2 linked regions of the Drosophila melanogaster genome follow. The gene in region 2 interacts genetically with the main gene of each other region. Each region holds a gene or a part of one and is shown on either strand. Other genes may lie near its edges.

The links. A genetic interaction does not mean that the proteins touch.
Region 1: of RpS13 (region 2) and Polr1B, changing one suppresses a phenotype caused by changing the other (phenotypic suppression), as found in Drosophila melanogaster (one study listed by BioGRID).

The regions. Positions count from the first base shown.
Region 1 is NT_033779.5:400,561-409,653, forward strand, and holds Polr1B (RNA polymerase I subunit B), read left to right. Parts: upstream 1-3,724; 5' UTR 3,725-3,823; coding exon 3,824-3,913; intron 3,914-3,975; coding exon 3,976-5,475; intron 5,476-5,534; coding exon 5,535-7,334; 3' UTR 7,335-7,409; downstream 7,410-9,093. Other genes in the region: CG4213 (uncharacterized protein), read right to left, coding at 1-107, 165-382, 447-1,103; AP-2alpha (adaptor protein complex 2, alpha subunit), read right to left, coding at 8,828-8,905, 8,972-9,093. UniProt on the Drosophila melanogaster protein: DNA-dependent RNA polymerase catalyzes the transcription of DNA into RNA using the four ribonucleoside triphosphates as substrates. Second largest core component of RNA polymerase I which synthesizes ribosomal RNA precursors.
Region 2 is NT_033779.5:8,361,127-8,367,682, reverse strand, and holds RpS13 (ribosomal protein S13), read left to right. Parts: upstream 1-3,020; 5' UTR 3,021-3,119; coding exon 3,120-3,142; intron 3,143-3,367; coding exon 3,368-3,495; intron 3,496-3,557; coding exon 3,558-3,862; 3' UTR 3,863-4,206; downstream 4,207-6,556. Other genes in the region: Pp2A-29B (protein phosphatase 2A at 29B), read right to left, coding at 1-371, 434-587, 1,289-1,372; CSN8 (COP9 signalosome subunit 8), read right to left, coding at 2,044-2,294, 2,355-2,530, 2,579-2,643, 2,704-2,760; CG7627 (uncharacterized protein), read left to right, coding at 6,506-6,556.

The DNA of each region.
Region 1 (9,093 bases), 8.0 Mb from region 2:
TCTCAAACTTGTGCTCGCCGCACTCCTCCCGGAGCTTCGCCAGCTCCTCATTGGCCATCTCCACCTCTTTGAGAAGGCTGTGATTGCGGTCCTCCAAGCTTTTATTTCTAGTACAGGAAGAAAGATCAGTAAAGTTTGGTTCAATGGATAGAAAATTCGCTTACTTATCCTGCTCGGCCGTAAGTTCGTCTCTCTTGATCGAGATTAGGCGCTGGAGATTCTCGTACTCCGCAGCAGCCACTCTCTGTCGCTCTTCATAAAGTTGCCTTAACTGGCGGATATTCACCAGTTGGCGCTCGTATTCCTGGCGAAGATTGTTCGACATAATCTTCATTTCGCGCTCACTAAAAGAGTTTTCGATTTCCGTCAGCTTCATCTTGAGCTAGTAGTAAACCATTTATTTAATATGGATCTTGATTTCTATACGACCTGCATTACTAGCTCACCTGAGCACACTGTTCCTCCTTCACGCTCAGCATCTGCTTGCAGCAGGAGATGACCTCCTTCAGGGTTCCTACCTGGCGTTGAACCACTTCCACTTCTCCACGCAATGACAAATTCTCGGCCTGTGCCTGCTGCAAAGCCAACTGAGCATTGGCCAGTTCGATATTGGCATGGCGGCTCCTGGAACTGGGATTCTCATCATCTGGATCTGCATCAGGCTTACTGGGACTATTCGAATGGTCGTGCTGATTATCGGCTTGACCGTCTGTAGCCGTAACTTTTCTAAGACGTTGATTCTCAGATTTTTCTATGGCCAATTGTTCTTTAAGACTAGCAATTTCATCCCTCAGGCCCTGCACAGCATTTTGGCGAACCTCTTTTTTCTGACGAAGCTCTTCTCTGAACTCTTCGAGGGTCTGTTCTCGTTGATGGGTCTCATTTCCTTTGTCCTCCATTTCAATTGCAACTTTATTCTCACGATATTTCACTCTATTTTCGGGAAGTACCTCCTCAGCTTCTTTTTGGGTTGTGGCTCGGGGGGCCTGTTCCAGAATGAGATCCTCGTGCTCGATGTTGTTCCACCAGGGCTCGTCATCAGTGGACTGCTGCATCTGCATTTGCGTATCATCCGCAGACTGTGTGGACTCGGCATTTCCCATCTTTACCAACAGAACAAAGACGAACGAGCTGTGGTATGCGGTTGTGATGATCTGTTTACCAATGCAGATTCGCCTGGCGAGCGTTAAATTTACGATTCGCTTTAATGCGACTTTTCTTCTAGAGAAGAACTCTTTGTCGGCACAAAGAAAGCCCAAGATCCACCGATCTACAGATCGCCACCAATTGATATGGCACCAATACCAGCAGGGGAAAATACCAACAAAAATCGGTGTCTATATTTGTGTGCGACGATCACACACGAGTTTGCAGATTTCGCAATTATCTATTGACTTTCACTTTTCAACCAAGGATGTTCGAGAAAAAATAATGTCCCGATTTCCATTAAATATTCTTCACTTGCACATTGAACTTCGAAAGATACGGAAAAGGAGAAACGTAACTAAACTAAATATCTAGTATACATATGATAAACTTCTATATGTATACGTGACGTTGGAAAATTTTCGGGTTCTAATTTCTATCCGTTCGACGGTCGAACGCAACTTTTCGGTTAGCCAGCTCGGGAAAAACTGAGAAAACATTGAATAGATTCTGCTATTTTTAACCCACTACGATCTCTCCTGCTTTCAAACGAATTTGGCTTCTCTCGGCGGCACTCCCAACATAAAATGCTTTGTTTTCGAGCATTAGAGATTCTTGTTATGTTGAGGGTTTGGCAAGATGTCTGAGAGTCTTCTTAGGACTCTTCCCTTCACATTCTTAATTGTTCTTTTTAGTTTTATGCACATTTTAATTAGAAGAACGTGTCAGATGAATCCGTCTAAAATTATACACAAGCGTCATTTTAATTATGAGTAAGGGGTAAAACAAAACAAAACTCTTGCCACATCGCCTGTCAAGAAATGAAGATCAAGACCAGTTGTCAAGAGCTGAAAGAGAAAGATCCGCAACACTTACTAGGTGAATGATCTGCACTGTTTTGAAGACGATGTTTCCTAACATCAGGAACTTTAATTACATATAAAAAGCATACAAAAGAATTAGCATTACTCTCAGTTTTGGTATTAGGTAAAAACTCTGGGTGAGTATGAACACATGTTCAAGGTTAAATACAGCACAATCCTATTCATTTTTCAATTCATACACGATCACAAACTTTTCTTAGCGCACCCCTGTCTGACCCACATTCGTTGACCATTATCACTTCGTTAAAGAGAATAAATCTCTGGACCTTTATTAACCAATTTGTGATAGTGGCATAGGGTATCCCGCGCACCCCCGAACTCAATGAAAATCTTTCGCGCGAAAGTTTCAAATGAAAATCCATTTGCTAGCTGATTTTTGCACTGGCCACGCCAACTTCCTGTTTTTTTCCCCCAGTGCGCGCATTTGAAAAGTGGGAAACACGCAGCAACGATTCCAAACCAAGGACGGTGAAGGGTTTTCCGGGGTAGGAAGGAAGGATGGCGCACACATTTGGCAAAGTGTCGCCAGGCTTGAAAATGAAAATCAACAATGCAATTTGCCATGGCGCCTCGCTCTGCCCCTTAGTTCTAGGTTTCTCTGTTGTTTGTAGCGACTCAAAAGGGAAAAAATTCTGCTAAAAACTTGAAGCGCCAGGCAAAAGTTGGGCCCCAGGAACGCCCTCAGCTTTTGCAGAGATTGCACACAGGCAAATGTGCAGCGAAAGTTGAAAGTAGCAAGGATACAAGAACCAGGCATCAAGGACGCTCTGCCCAAAATAAGTTGCAAGAAATCCATTGTGTTCATTATAATGGAATAATAAACCGGAGTGACTGCGTTCAGATTGGGGTTCTTTCCTTTTCCATTAGCCCCTGAACCATCTCAAATTGATGATATTTTCTTGATGTTCCCACAACCACTTCATGTTTTCACGTTAAAACCCAACAAAGTAATTTGGCAATTCCAATACAAGAAAAATTAAGAAATCTGGCATCAGCCTTGATTAACACCTATCTTAAGACGAAATATAATGTTAGTAAAATTTTCATATTCTCGCAGTCATTAGACATTAATGTGCCAGTCAGTGGGGTTTAAGCCCAAGTATTCGACAAAACTGCTTCTTAGAAGCTTTAGATGGCGTATTTTGGGGAGGGTGCTTCAGATTAATATGCACATACATACATATGTGCATACATACGCCACCTATGTGGCTCACAACAATGCAACAACTTCATTGCCAGAGCAACACGTTGGCACATCCTGTTGCAAAGTCTCATTTCCGCAGGAGTTGTGTTCTACATACCGGATGCCTTTGCAAATGCTAAATGGTTATTGCCGTATGTGCACAATATGTCAGACGTTGCAAATAAATTATATTTGCTTTTATACAACTTGGATACAATTCAAAATTGGGTTATCAGGCTTATCAAGCGCGCACATATCAGCTGTTCCTTGCATTCGGTTGGCAGCCCAGTTATTTAAAGATGAGCTGAACACGAATCGGAACCATACGACAATTCACCGAACTTTAAGGTTATTTTAGTGTGTTCTATTAATCTGAATACAAATTTTTAGTGATGGTTCTTTATTTACCGAAAATTTTTATCCCAATCATCTATATTCTTATTTCATTCAGTTATATGAACAATATAATATATGAACTAGTTCTTTGCGACTGCCTCACCACTGACTGGTTCGCATTCAAAACGGTTCGATTCCAAACAACACGTGCGAAGGAAGGCAATAGGTTTCTTAATATTTTTGGTCGGCATTCTGAAAGAATAATACTTACAACATGCTGGAGGAGATGCAACAAATGAAGACCATTCCAGTGCTGACCAATTCCCGCCCGGAGTTTAAGCAGATACCTAAAAAACTCAGCAGGGTAAATATCAATCTTGTACCTATAGCAAGGTTTCGTGCTAATAGATTTACTTCTATGGCTAGCATTTGGCCAATTTGGGAGGTCCACATGTGGATTCCTTCGACGAGATGCTGACCGTGGGACTGGATAACTCGGCCAAACACATGATCCCGAACCACTGGCTGAGTCCTGCCGGCGAAAAGATTTCAATGAAAGTAGAATCAATATGGATAGCGAAGCCAAAGGTGCCGCAAGATGTGATTGATGTGCGCACCCGAGAGATTTACCCCACGGACTCCAGGCAGCTCCATGTCTCCTACTCGGGAATGTGCTCGGTCCGATTGGGGTGGAGTGTCAATGGAGTGCAAAAGACTCCCATAAACATGGACCTAGGAGAAGTGCCCATCATGTTGCGCTCCAAAGCCTGCAATCTGGGACAGGCTACTCCGGAAGAAATGGTAAAACATGGAGAGCACGACAGCGAGTGGGGGGGCATTTTTGTGATCCGAGGAAATGAGAAGATTGTACGTATGTTGATCATGACCCGGAGGAACCATCCCATATGTGTAAAACGTTCATCCTGGAAGGATCGTGGACAGAATTTTAGCGATTTGGGTATGTTAGTGCAAACGGTCCGTGAGGACGAATCATCCCTGAGCAATGTAGTACATTATTTAAACAATGGAACTGCAAAGTTTATGTTTTCTCACGTCAAGAGACTATCATACGTACCAGTTTGCCTGATCCTCAAGTGCCTAATGGATTATACAGATGAGGAAATATACAACAGATTGGTGCAAGGCTACGAGTCCGACCAGTACTATGTGTCCTGCGTGCAAGCCATGTTGAGGGAAGTTCAAAATGAAAACGTCTATACGCACGCCCAGTGCAAGAGCTTCATTGGCAATCTGTTCCGTGCCCGCTTCCCAGAAGTTCCGGAATGGCAACCGGATGATGATGTCACAGACTTTATTCTTAGGGAGCGAGTAATGATTCACCTGGATACCTATGAGGATAAGTTCCAGTTGATTGTGTTTATGATTCAGAAGCTTTTCCAATGCGCACAGGGCAAGTACAAAGTGGAGAACGTCGACTCAGCTATGATGCAGGAAGTGCTTCTGCCAGGCCATCTCTATCAGAAATACCTAAGTGAGCGAGTCGAATCCTGGGTCTCGCAAGTCCGACGTTGCCTTCAAAAAAAACTGACTTCACCTGATGCCCTAGTTACCAGTGCTGTGATGACGCAGTGCATGCGACAAGCAGGAGGAGTTGGCCGGGCCATAGAGTCGTTTTTAGCAACTGGAAATATTGCGAGTCGCACTGGCCTGGGATTAATGCAAAATAGCGGATTAGTCATTATGGCGGAGAACATTAACAGGATGCGTTACATGTCCCACTTTCGCGCCATCCACCGTGGTTCCTATTTTACAACGATGAGAACCACTGAGGCGCGGCAGCTGCTCCCGGATGCCTGGGGTTTTATTTGTCCAGTGCACACTCCTGATGGCACACCGTGCGGACTGTTAAATCATTTGACTCTAACTTGCGAGATTTCGATGCGTCCCGATCCCAAGTTGGTGAAGGTGGGTACAGCTAATGGTAGACTTTATTAGAAATTTTAACCGATTACTTTTTTTTTCAGGCCATTCCCAAGCATCTTATAGATATGGGCATGATGCCCTTGTCAAACCGAAGATATTTGGGCGAAAAACTTTACGTCGTCTTCCTAGATGGCAAACACTTGGGTCACATTCATCAATCAGAAGCCGAAAAAATAGTTGACGAATTGCGCTACGGGAAGATATTCGGCACCCTTCCCCAGATGATGGAAATCGGCTTTATACCCTTCAAGAAGAACGGTCAGTTTCCAGGGCTTTACATTGCAACGGGTCCTGCCAGGATGATGAGGCCCGTTTGGAACCTAAAGTGGAAAAGGGTGGAGTACATCGGAACACTGGAACAGCTTTATATGGAGATCGCCATCGATGCAAAGGAAATGTATCCTGACTTCACCACTCATTTGGAGTTGGCTAAGACCCACTTCATGAGCAACTTGGCCAACTTGATACCCATGCCGGACTACAATCAATCGCCACGTAACATGTACCAGTGTCAGATGGGAAAACAGACGATGGGAACGCCATGCTTGAATTGGCCTAAGCAAGCGGCCAACAAGTTATACCGCCTTCAGACGCCAGGGACTCCTCTCTTCCGACCAGTACACTACGACAACATCCAGCTGGATGACTTTGCAATGGGCACAAATGCTATTGTAGCTGTCATTTCCTACACGGGCTACGACATGGAAGATGCTATGATCATCAACAAGGCTGCTTATGAACGAGGATTCGCCTATGGAAGTATCTACAAAACAAAGTTTTTGACGTTGGACAAGAAGAGCAGTTACTTCGCAAGGCATCCACACATGCCGGAGTTAATAAAGCATCTTGACACGGATGGTCTTCCACATCCGGGCTCCAAATTGAGCTATGGTTCGCCCCTGTACTGTTACTTTGACGGAGAGGTCGCCACTTATAAAGTTGTGAAAATGGATGAAAAGGAGGATTGCATAGTAGAGAGCATCCGACAGTTGGGAAGCTTCGATTTGTCGCCAAAAAAAATGGTGGCCATCACACTGAGGGTTCCACGACCTGCCACTATTGGAGACAAGTTTGCATCAAGAGCTGGTCAGAAAGGAATTTGCTCACAAAAATATCCTGCAGAGGACTTGCCATTTACGGAATCTGGTTTGATTCCAGACATTGTGTTCAATCCCCACGGCTTCCCCTCCCGAATGACAATCGCCATGATGATAGAAACGATGGCGGGAAAGGGGGCTGCAATCCACGGAAATGTTTACGATGCCACGCCTTTTCGCTTCTCCGAAGAGAATACTGCTATTGACTATTTTGGCAAAATGTTAGAGGCTGGGGGTTACAATTACTACGGAACGGAGAGGCTGTATTCCGGCGTAGATGGCCGCGAGATGACTGCTGACATATTTTTTGGAGTGGTGCATTACCAGCGTCTTCGGCACATGGTGTTTGACAAGTGGCAAGTAAGATCTACGGGAGCGGTGGAAGCTCGGACCCATCAGCCAATTAAGGGCAGAAAACGCGGTGGAGGCGTCAGATTCGGTGAGATGGAACGGGATGCTTTGATCTCTCACGGTGCTGCTTTCCTGCTGCAGGATCGCTTGTTCCACAACTCCGATAAGACGCACACCCTGGTGTGCCACAAGTGCGGCTCCATTCTGGCGCCTCTGCAACGCATTGTTAAGCGAAATGAGACGGGAGGACTCTCTTCTCAGCCAGATACGTGTCGCTTGTGCGGGGATAACAGTTCTGTATCGATGATCGAGATACCATTCTCTTTTAAGTATCTGGTTACCGAATTGAGTTCGGTCAACATTAATGCGAGATTTAAGTTAAATGAAATTTGATTTAAATCTAAAATTATTGTTAGGTCCTATGTTAACCCGTGCGCTAATCGTAATAAAGATAAATACGTAAAATACAACTGTGCTTGCCAAGTGTTTATATCCAGATCGTGGAAACGTTTTAAACACCTTTCAAATGGTTTCAATTTATATTTATTTAAATACATATTGGTTTACGTTTACAGTTAAATTCCTGCACTTGCTATATGTAGTTGTGGCTTGGTTTTCTTGCTCTTGCAGTTGCTTTTGTTTTGTCTGTGAGTGTTAAATGGAATTTGTGTGGAATTTTGTAACATTTAACTATTGCACTTTGGAAATGCCTAAATTTCCAGCTGTCATGCACATTGGTTTTTACGAAAGGATCGAGAGTTTAATGGTAATAAGTATTTGATGTCAGTTTCCATTATCGGTTTTCAGTATCAGTATCTATATAGTGTATATTTTAGTTTACAATTCTTTGTTCTTTATCGGCAGCCGTCTCGCATTTGAAGAGAGTCATTAGCAGATTTATGGCTGGCGGCTACTGCTGCTGCTGCTTCAGATTAGTTAATACTTGGTGCTACAAAGATCGCTTTCTCTTCAGGAAGCGGCACAACATGAAGTAGCCCCTCTCAGTTTATCTATGGTACACAAACGAAACGTAATATTACCCAGAATCATTCAAAAAATTCTGCTATAAGTATAATAATATTCTGAAATTTTTGCTTCGTTTTCTTCAATAGGGAAATTTTTCCTATCGTTAATAAATTTTAAGTTGCTCAACAGTGATTAATCAAGGAGATTTTGTGGATCTGTCTAATTATTTGTCTATTATTTAATGAGATTTCTGCTCTTGCGGTCCTCCATTGGATTTTACAATCAAAAACATTAAACATGAATTTCGTTTAGATGCAATTGCAATAATCAATATATGTATAAATATTTAGATAACGATTTGCATACTTGTCATTTGCAGGCATCTTAATAATTCCCTTGCAAGCTTTTCTCTTTTGTTTTATATTGATTTCTGTTTTTATTACAACGACGTATATACTAGGTATATGTATGTGGTTTGTATGAATGTATGTAGATCTGTATATAGGTATATAATATCCAATTGCTACTGCCTCGAAATGATGCAACAATATATAATTTGTCATACATATAAACATAATCTAATTATGTTCTCTCGTTTCTCTACTATGAACTTTTTGAGCTTAACATTTACAAAAAAGTTTGGGAACATGAAATTGAAAATGGTTAAAGTAAGAGTAGGTTTACAAACATAATATTCAAATAAACAGGACAGTGGGTAAATCAACTCGCTGTTGGAGAAGATGAAAGGTACTTAAGAAGAGTGTAGGAGTGTGCCTGGCATAACTAAACGCGTACAGTTCTAGGGCCTTGTATGCTTTGATATTTCTCTAGGTAATTGGGATTGTGCATTGTAAAGTGGTTGCCGTTGCTCCATGGCTTCGCAGCTCCGTCTCCATCACCCCGTCCATGATTGTTGTGGCTTAGAATTGATCCGTCAACAGATCGCAGATTTCCCGAGTTACGGTCTCCTTGCTTGCCCGAACTGTCAGTCGGAACATCTATTGATAATTTGAGAAATAGGCAATAGGCATTATGTTCCAAGTATCTAACAATAAATTACTCACCTGAGCCTGCTTGTTCGGCTCCAATCGCATAAGGCAGCCCACCTGTTGCGATTGCGTATGAATGATGCCCGCGCAGACCATGTTGTCTGGATTGGGATCCACTTGGTCCAGCAGTTGCATTC
Region 2 (6,556 bases):
CAGATACTCCGTCTCAACGACCTTGGCAAACTCGCCCAGCTTGTTGGCCGCTGCACGGCGCACCATGGGTGTCTCATCCTGGCAGAGCTTTCGGAAGTTGGCGCGCAGCTCGGCCTTCACTGGCTGTGTGACGCGTGGATAGCAGACCGAGAAGAGGCCGCAGGCAGAGGTGCGTGAGGTGAACCAGTCACCGGAAACCAATCGCTGCAGTGTCGGCACCACATGGATCTCCAAATCCTGGGCGCTGTGCTCAGCGGCCACGGTGCGTAGAGATTCCACAGCCTTGTCTCGCACCACGGTTTCCTCTACGGTGGCCAAACTCTCGAGGGGCGGAATCAAGTACATGGCAAACTCTGGCCCACCAACGAGACCTGGAAAGTAACGGCGGAACATGGTTGGAAATGTTTTCATTAGAAATTATATCTTTGCTCACTAGTAAAGTTGCCCAGTTGGTCGGCCAGGGCCAGCAGTACCTCGTCCTCATCGTATATGGTCTCGGTGAGGAAGGGAATCAACTCGGACCGTGTGCGCTCCTCGCCCAAAGCGAGTGCAATGGTGGACAGTTTCTTGATGGAGTTCAACCGAAGCTGTTTTGGTAAGGGAAAATATTAAAGATGATTATTTTAATAGGGTATTCAAATTTAGGATAAGTGGTAACTAATTCTACGATTTTGAGGTTATTATTGATAGGGCTATTGGTTTTTTTTTACAAAAGCGGTGGTCAACCTGTACCCTACATTTTATTTTCAAAAAAAAACGTAGCATATATATTTACTTAAGATATCTTTTTTAGATAAGATAAGTGATTAGATTATTCGATGTAACGAAAATATTTCATCTTACTATCTCATTTTAAAATCAGTTATGGTATTACTATTGATTGAAGTTGATCTATTTTTAACACGCGCAGTTGTAAATTGTTTTTGCAAATAGCAAATGCGTAAAAACTTATACTTATACATACATAAATGAAGGATAACAAAATCTACAAATAAAAAGCGGATAAAGACGTATACCCATAATTGCAATTAATTGATAATAGTAATTTTTTTCGCAAAACGCTAATCTTGTGTATATCGAAATTCGGTATAATTTCGATGCACACACTCGCACCAACACAAATGCCCATGCACACACGCACACACACACCGTGACGCATTTTTGCACAAATACAATCGCAGATAAAGCAGGGAGTGTGGGCACGCTACCCCAAAATTTAATCACTAGAATATTTCTGCACATTCTTCGCGAGATACAATTGGATTTCAGGTTTTAGGACATGACAAACCTGAACGTCCTCGTTTTTCAGTTCATCGATTAGAACCGCAATGGGATATAGTGAATCGTCGACCGATTTGTCGCTTGCTGCCATTTTTTCTGCTGTTTCTGCTGCTCACACACAAACACAAGCGCACTGAAAATCGGGTCTTCTATTCTGCAGGCAAACGACGAGATTTCTATTTGGCCCTCTGGCGATTCGCAGTTTACTTCTTCAAGGTTACAAAATAATTTCGCAAGGTACTATATTTCGTCGCTGCAAATTTTCTAAGAATCCATACAATTATCCGCTGATTGCTGTTCTTTTCGAACGAAAAACGTACGTCGTTGGTGCAAATTAATATTTTTTTTCTTCAAGTGACACAACGGTAGAGGTGGAACGCATATCGGTTATCATTCGATACTATCGGCGTTTCCGCGCGTCGATAGATTTTCTGAAATATATTTTATTTAACTGAATTCTGAAGAATATTAAAATCACACTTATTAAATTAGGCCAAGAATATGATTATATATCTACATAGATTACATGGAAAATTATAATTCTGTAGCCTTAGTTTCTAGTTCCTAATTTTTAGGTATACTTCCAAAAGCTAATTCGTACAAAACCCAATGGCGCCAATTCGGTGATTTAGCTAATATTTATAAATATGTCTAATAACGATATTAATCGAGTGTTTTTTAGATTGACACAGGCTGTGTGACCATAACTTTTCTTCAAATGTATACAAAAATCCAATTAAATGTATTGAAATTTATTGAGGCTTAATTCTCTAGGAAGGTTACAAACTCGGTCAACTTAAGCAACTGGTCATCGTTTCCACGAGCTGGCGGTGCTTCCTGAACCTTGGGCTTCAGGATTACCCGGTCACCGTCCAGTTCCTCAGTCCAATTTAAGGCCGCACAGGCGTGTTTCAGTTCGTCCTCCGACATTAGTGACAATTCCAGTAGATTGTGCTGGTAAATGGACATATATGCGCTGCCCATTAGTTTGAACAGCTCTTCGCGTTGCTTATCTAAGTAGATACATTATAAGTTTTTATATCCAATTAGTAAGCTTTTAGGCATAGCCATACTTAGAAGATCCTCCACAGGTGACTTTACTCTTTCCGACCACTCATACTTGATGTGTTTGAAGAAATCGGCATAGTTATTGTTCTGCAGGGCAATATTGAGCAGGTTCAGCTGGATCAGTTCCTTGTCATCCCTTAGGTTAGCTGGAACTCTCATCCACAACAACTTGGCATCAGCCCTGTAGCACAAGATTAAAATATGTATTTCTTTTATATCAATCACTTACAGTTTGTTTTGATAGAGGTAAATAGCAAGTAATTGCTGGTAGACTTCAGCTCCCAGTTCGACTTGCTGTAAAAGTATGGTTTTCTAGAATTCCATCTGTAGTGAATATATTAAACGATCACTCACCTCAAATTCCTCGTTCTCAAGCCGCTCCACTACTTCACTATATTTATTTAAATGCATTTTATTGGTAAATTCTTGGTCGGGAAACAATAATGTGACCGTTTAGCGTGCTGCAAGAAATGAAACCTTCCCAAAGCACTCCTGTGCTTGTGTAGAGTCTAGCTGACAATAGTATACATATATCGATAGCTAAATGAATTATTTTTACACAAATTAGCTTTCTATTTCCCTTTAATAAATCCTGTAATAGTCACTTAAAGTAAAGTTTTGAATATCACAACATATTGTAAGCGCATTAAAAAAAATATCGCTAAGCATCCCGTTATCGATAGCTGCTTTGACAGGTCTCCACATCGTAGAGCTGTCAACGTGCCAAAAGTCTCCACCTTCTTTTCGGTGTCAAAAACTAGACTATCAAGATGGGTCGTATGCACGCTCCTGGGTAAAAATGAAATTTTTCATTGTTTTCGATGCCTGTGTGCCAAGCTGAATGCATGCAAAATGTGTCTGCCGTGCGGGTTGAACGAATGAATGTGTTTAATGCGTTTCTACGGTGGTTTTAGTGTGTTAATTATCGACCGCAAAGGCAAGCACATGGTGCAGACGTATTCGCATTTGACAGGCGCCGCCATAAACGCGTACTAACATTTGTGTATTTCGTTCACAGCAAGGGTATTTCCCAATCAGCCCTCCCCTACAGACGCACTGTCCCATCCTGGCTGAAACTGAACGCAGATGATGTCAAGGAGCAGATTAAGAAGCTGGGCAAGAAGGGTCTGACTCCCTCCAAAATCGGTGAGCACTGCCGAGTATGTTGTTGTTTGAGGTTATGTTAATCCGGAATCCGGTTTTTACAGGCATCATCCTGCGTGACTCGCACGGAGTTGCCCAGGTGCGTTTCGTCAACGGAAACAAGATCCTGCGCATCATGAAGTCGGTGGGTCTGAAGCCCGACATTCCCGAGGATCTGTACCACATGATCAAGAAGGCCGTCGCCATCCGCAAGCACTTGGAGCGCAACCGCAAGGACAAGGACGGCAAGTTCCGTCTGATTCTGGTCGAGTCCAGGATCCACCGCCTGGCCCGCTACTACAAGACCAAGAGCGTCCTGCCCCCCAACTGGAAATACGAGTCGAGCACTGCCTCCGCCCTGGTTGCCTAAGTTCTTGATTCGCTAGTTGGTAGTTTGTTTTCAAGTCTTGCGGGGTCCTACATTTCCATCAATGTACAACCAATAAACCCAACAAATAAAACTGGAAATCGGAACTATTTTATAGACTAAACAAATTATGTGTGGTTTATTTACTTCAATAATTTCCAGTAATCTGCTTCAATGATTTCCAAACTCAAACTTGATACTATTTACCTGTGGCTAGCTTTAATTCAAATTCAGCGGCATCTCCAATAATGGAACTTTGTGAAACAGCTTAAAGGATGTGGACTAAAACCCAAAATGCTTTTAAATACATATGTGCAGCCCAGTCTGGGTGTTTCATACCGGAATACTTTTAGGAACAACATGATATATTCATTTTGAAAGTGCGCTTTGGGGAATGCTTTTAAGTATGTATTGATCATCGATTATGCCTTAATTGTTAGAGCTGAACGTATGTTTTTATTCCTGGTGTGTTACAACGTTATTTCCCAATTAAGGGGGTGTTTTAAATTTCGAAATGGAGATTAGGCGCAATAATTTAAAAAACACCTATCGAAATAACGAAATTGGAATGTTCCACTCCTTTAACATTCACTTGTTGCATGGTTTTCAGCAAGAAACTGCAAATCACATATGTACATAAATATATACAAATGTTTGTATGTATGTGCCACACTAGGGGGCACACAGGTAACAATTTTACAGTGGTACTTCTTTAACGTGAATAGCTGAGGATGTTAAAACCCTGATGGCCTCTTATCGCGTTTTCAATTTCAAATACATGCATGTATTTATATGTGAGGGGGAGAAGTGGACAATAATGTTATTGATTAACATTAATATTTTTGTGAAAATCAAACGGTTATCGCGCTTCCGTTATAAATCTTATTGTCAATAATCCTAAGTAGATTAAAATTGGAAATTCACATACTTACATTATATGTACTACTGTATGCTATATATACATACATACAACTAATAAGAAATTTTGTTGAGATGGTTTCATGTTTAAAAGCCCGATTGGAGTTGGAGTTTGTCTTGGGATGATGGAAAAAACTACCTAACGATGATGCTATACACAGTGCGCTCTCAGAACAGCGAAATAACTAAGATAACGCACCGGTCATACATAAAGTGTTGTGTCTGGTAAAATGTTATATAGAGTTAAATCCTCGATACAGAATTAATACAGATATCAAATTTCTATGCAACTTGCTTAAAACTAAAACTATTTCTAAAGGAAGGGAGCAATAACTATGGCGGTTGAAGCTAGGCAGACTCTACTGTAGCTCGGGAGCGCCTGGGGTTGGGGGTGAATTTCGTATTTAGAGCCGATAGCCGCCGAAACCGAAACCGCCAGTGTTCAGAATTCAGCATTCAGTAGCCTGCTGCTCTTTCTGGCGCTCGGACCGAAGTTTGTTTTATTATTTACAATATCTGTATATAGTTTTTGTGTTGCTTTGCCGGGTCTTCTATCGCGATTTTCTCACGTTCGCCAGCAACAATAACCATATTGTTGAATGTAAACAATATTGAAACAAAAGTACGTACATAGTACATGGGATTTGCAAGCAATGGCAATTATTTTAATTGTGCGCTCGCCGATTGCTTGGTAATTTGTGTGCCTGAAAAAATCCATGTGATTAGATAATTTACAGACAAACGAAAAACCATCGATGCGGCCTTTATCTGTGCGCAATTATTGTTTCTTGGCCGATAAGTGTAATGTACATTTGCATTTGTACATTTGGATAAAAGTTTCCCTTTTTTTGTGCCACCAACAACGTGGTACGTCTCGCACACCCGCACATAAATATATAGATATTTACATATGTACATACATACTTATATTCCGAATGGTTAAACGGTAAATGCTCGAAGTGCTTATTCTGGGCGGGTGTGAGTGGAACAGGGAGAAAGTGAGAAACAGACAATTACAGTAGATCCCAATTGTGAGATATACGAATTACAAATTGTTTAAGCCCTTCAACTGTTAAGTTACAGAGCTTATAGAAGGATATTAAAAGCCGGTAAAACAGAGGCTATTTTTAGAATCTTTTATATGTATGTGCCTATAAATAAGGGATTAGTCTTTTCGCCGCCTGATGAAATCAACGAATTATTCATCCAAAAACATTAAACTATAAATAAATATCTCTACTGTAATTTAGAAAAGCGACTTTTGCTACTTTAGAATGTAAAACATGTGCACTGTGTAACATGCACTGTTACCAGTTGTTTACTGTACTGCAAAATGGCAAACGCGTGTTTGGTTTTAGGGAACCAAACCCCTCTTCAACATTGCTGCTTCCCTGGGCCCGTCGTTACAGCAAGCCCTATTATGACGAACTACAAACTCATGAGCCAACCGCCCTTGTCACCCAAACCCATGGGTTTTCCACTAAAAAATAAATAGTACGTCGACTTTCTTGGAGTCGCCAAGCCAACGTCAATACGTAGCGTTGATAAATGAAACGACAATGTTTGTTTGATTAAGATGTGCCGTGTTTGTGCTCATATCGACTTTTGTTTTAGAACCACTCAACAGAATTACATATTTCCCTTATCCAATACAGCTCAGTTCATTCTTTATCTATTACGCTGCTTATACACCCTTTTTTATTTCAGTTTCTTTAGAGGCAGTAGAACATGCAGTCGCTGAAAACGGCAGATTTGCCGGAAAATCCCCGGGAACATTGC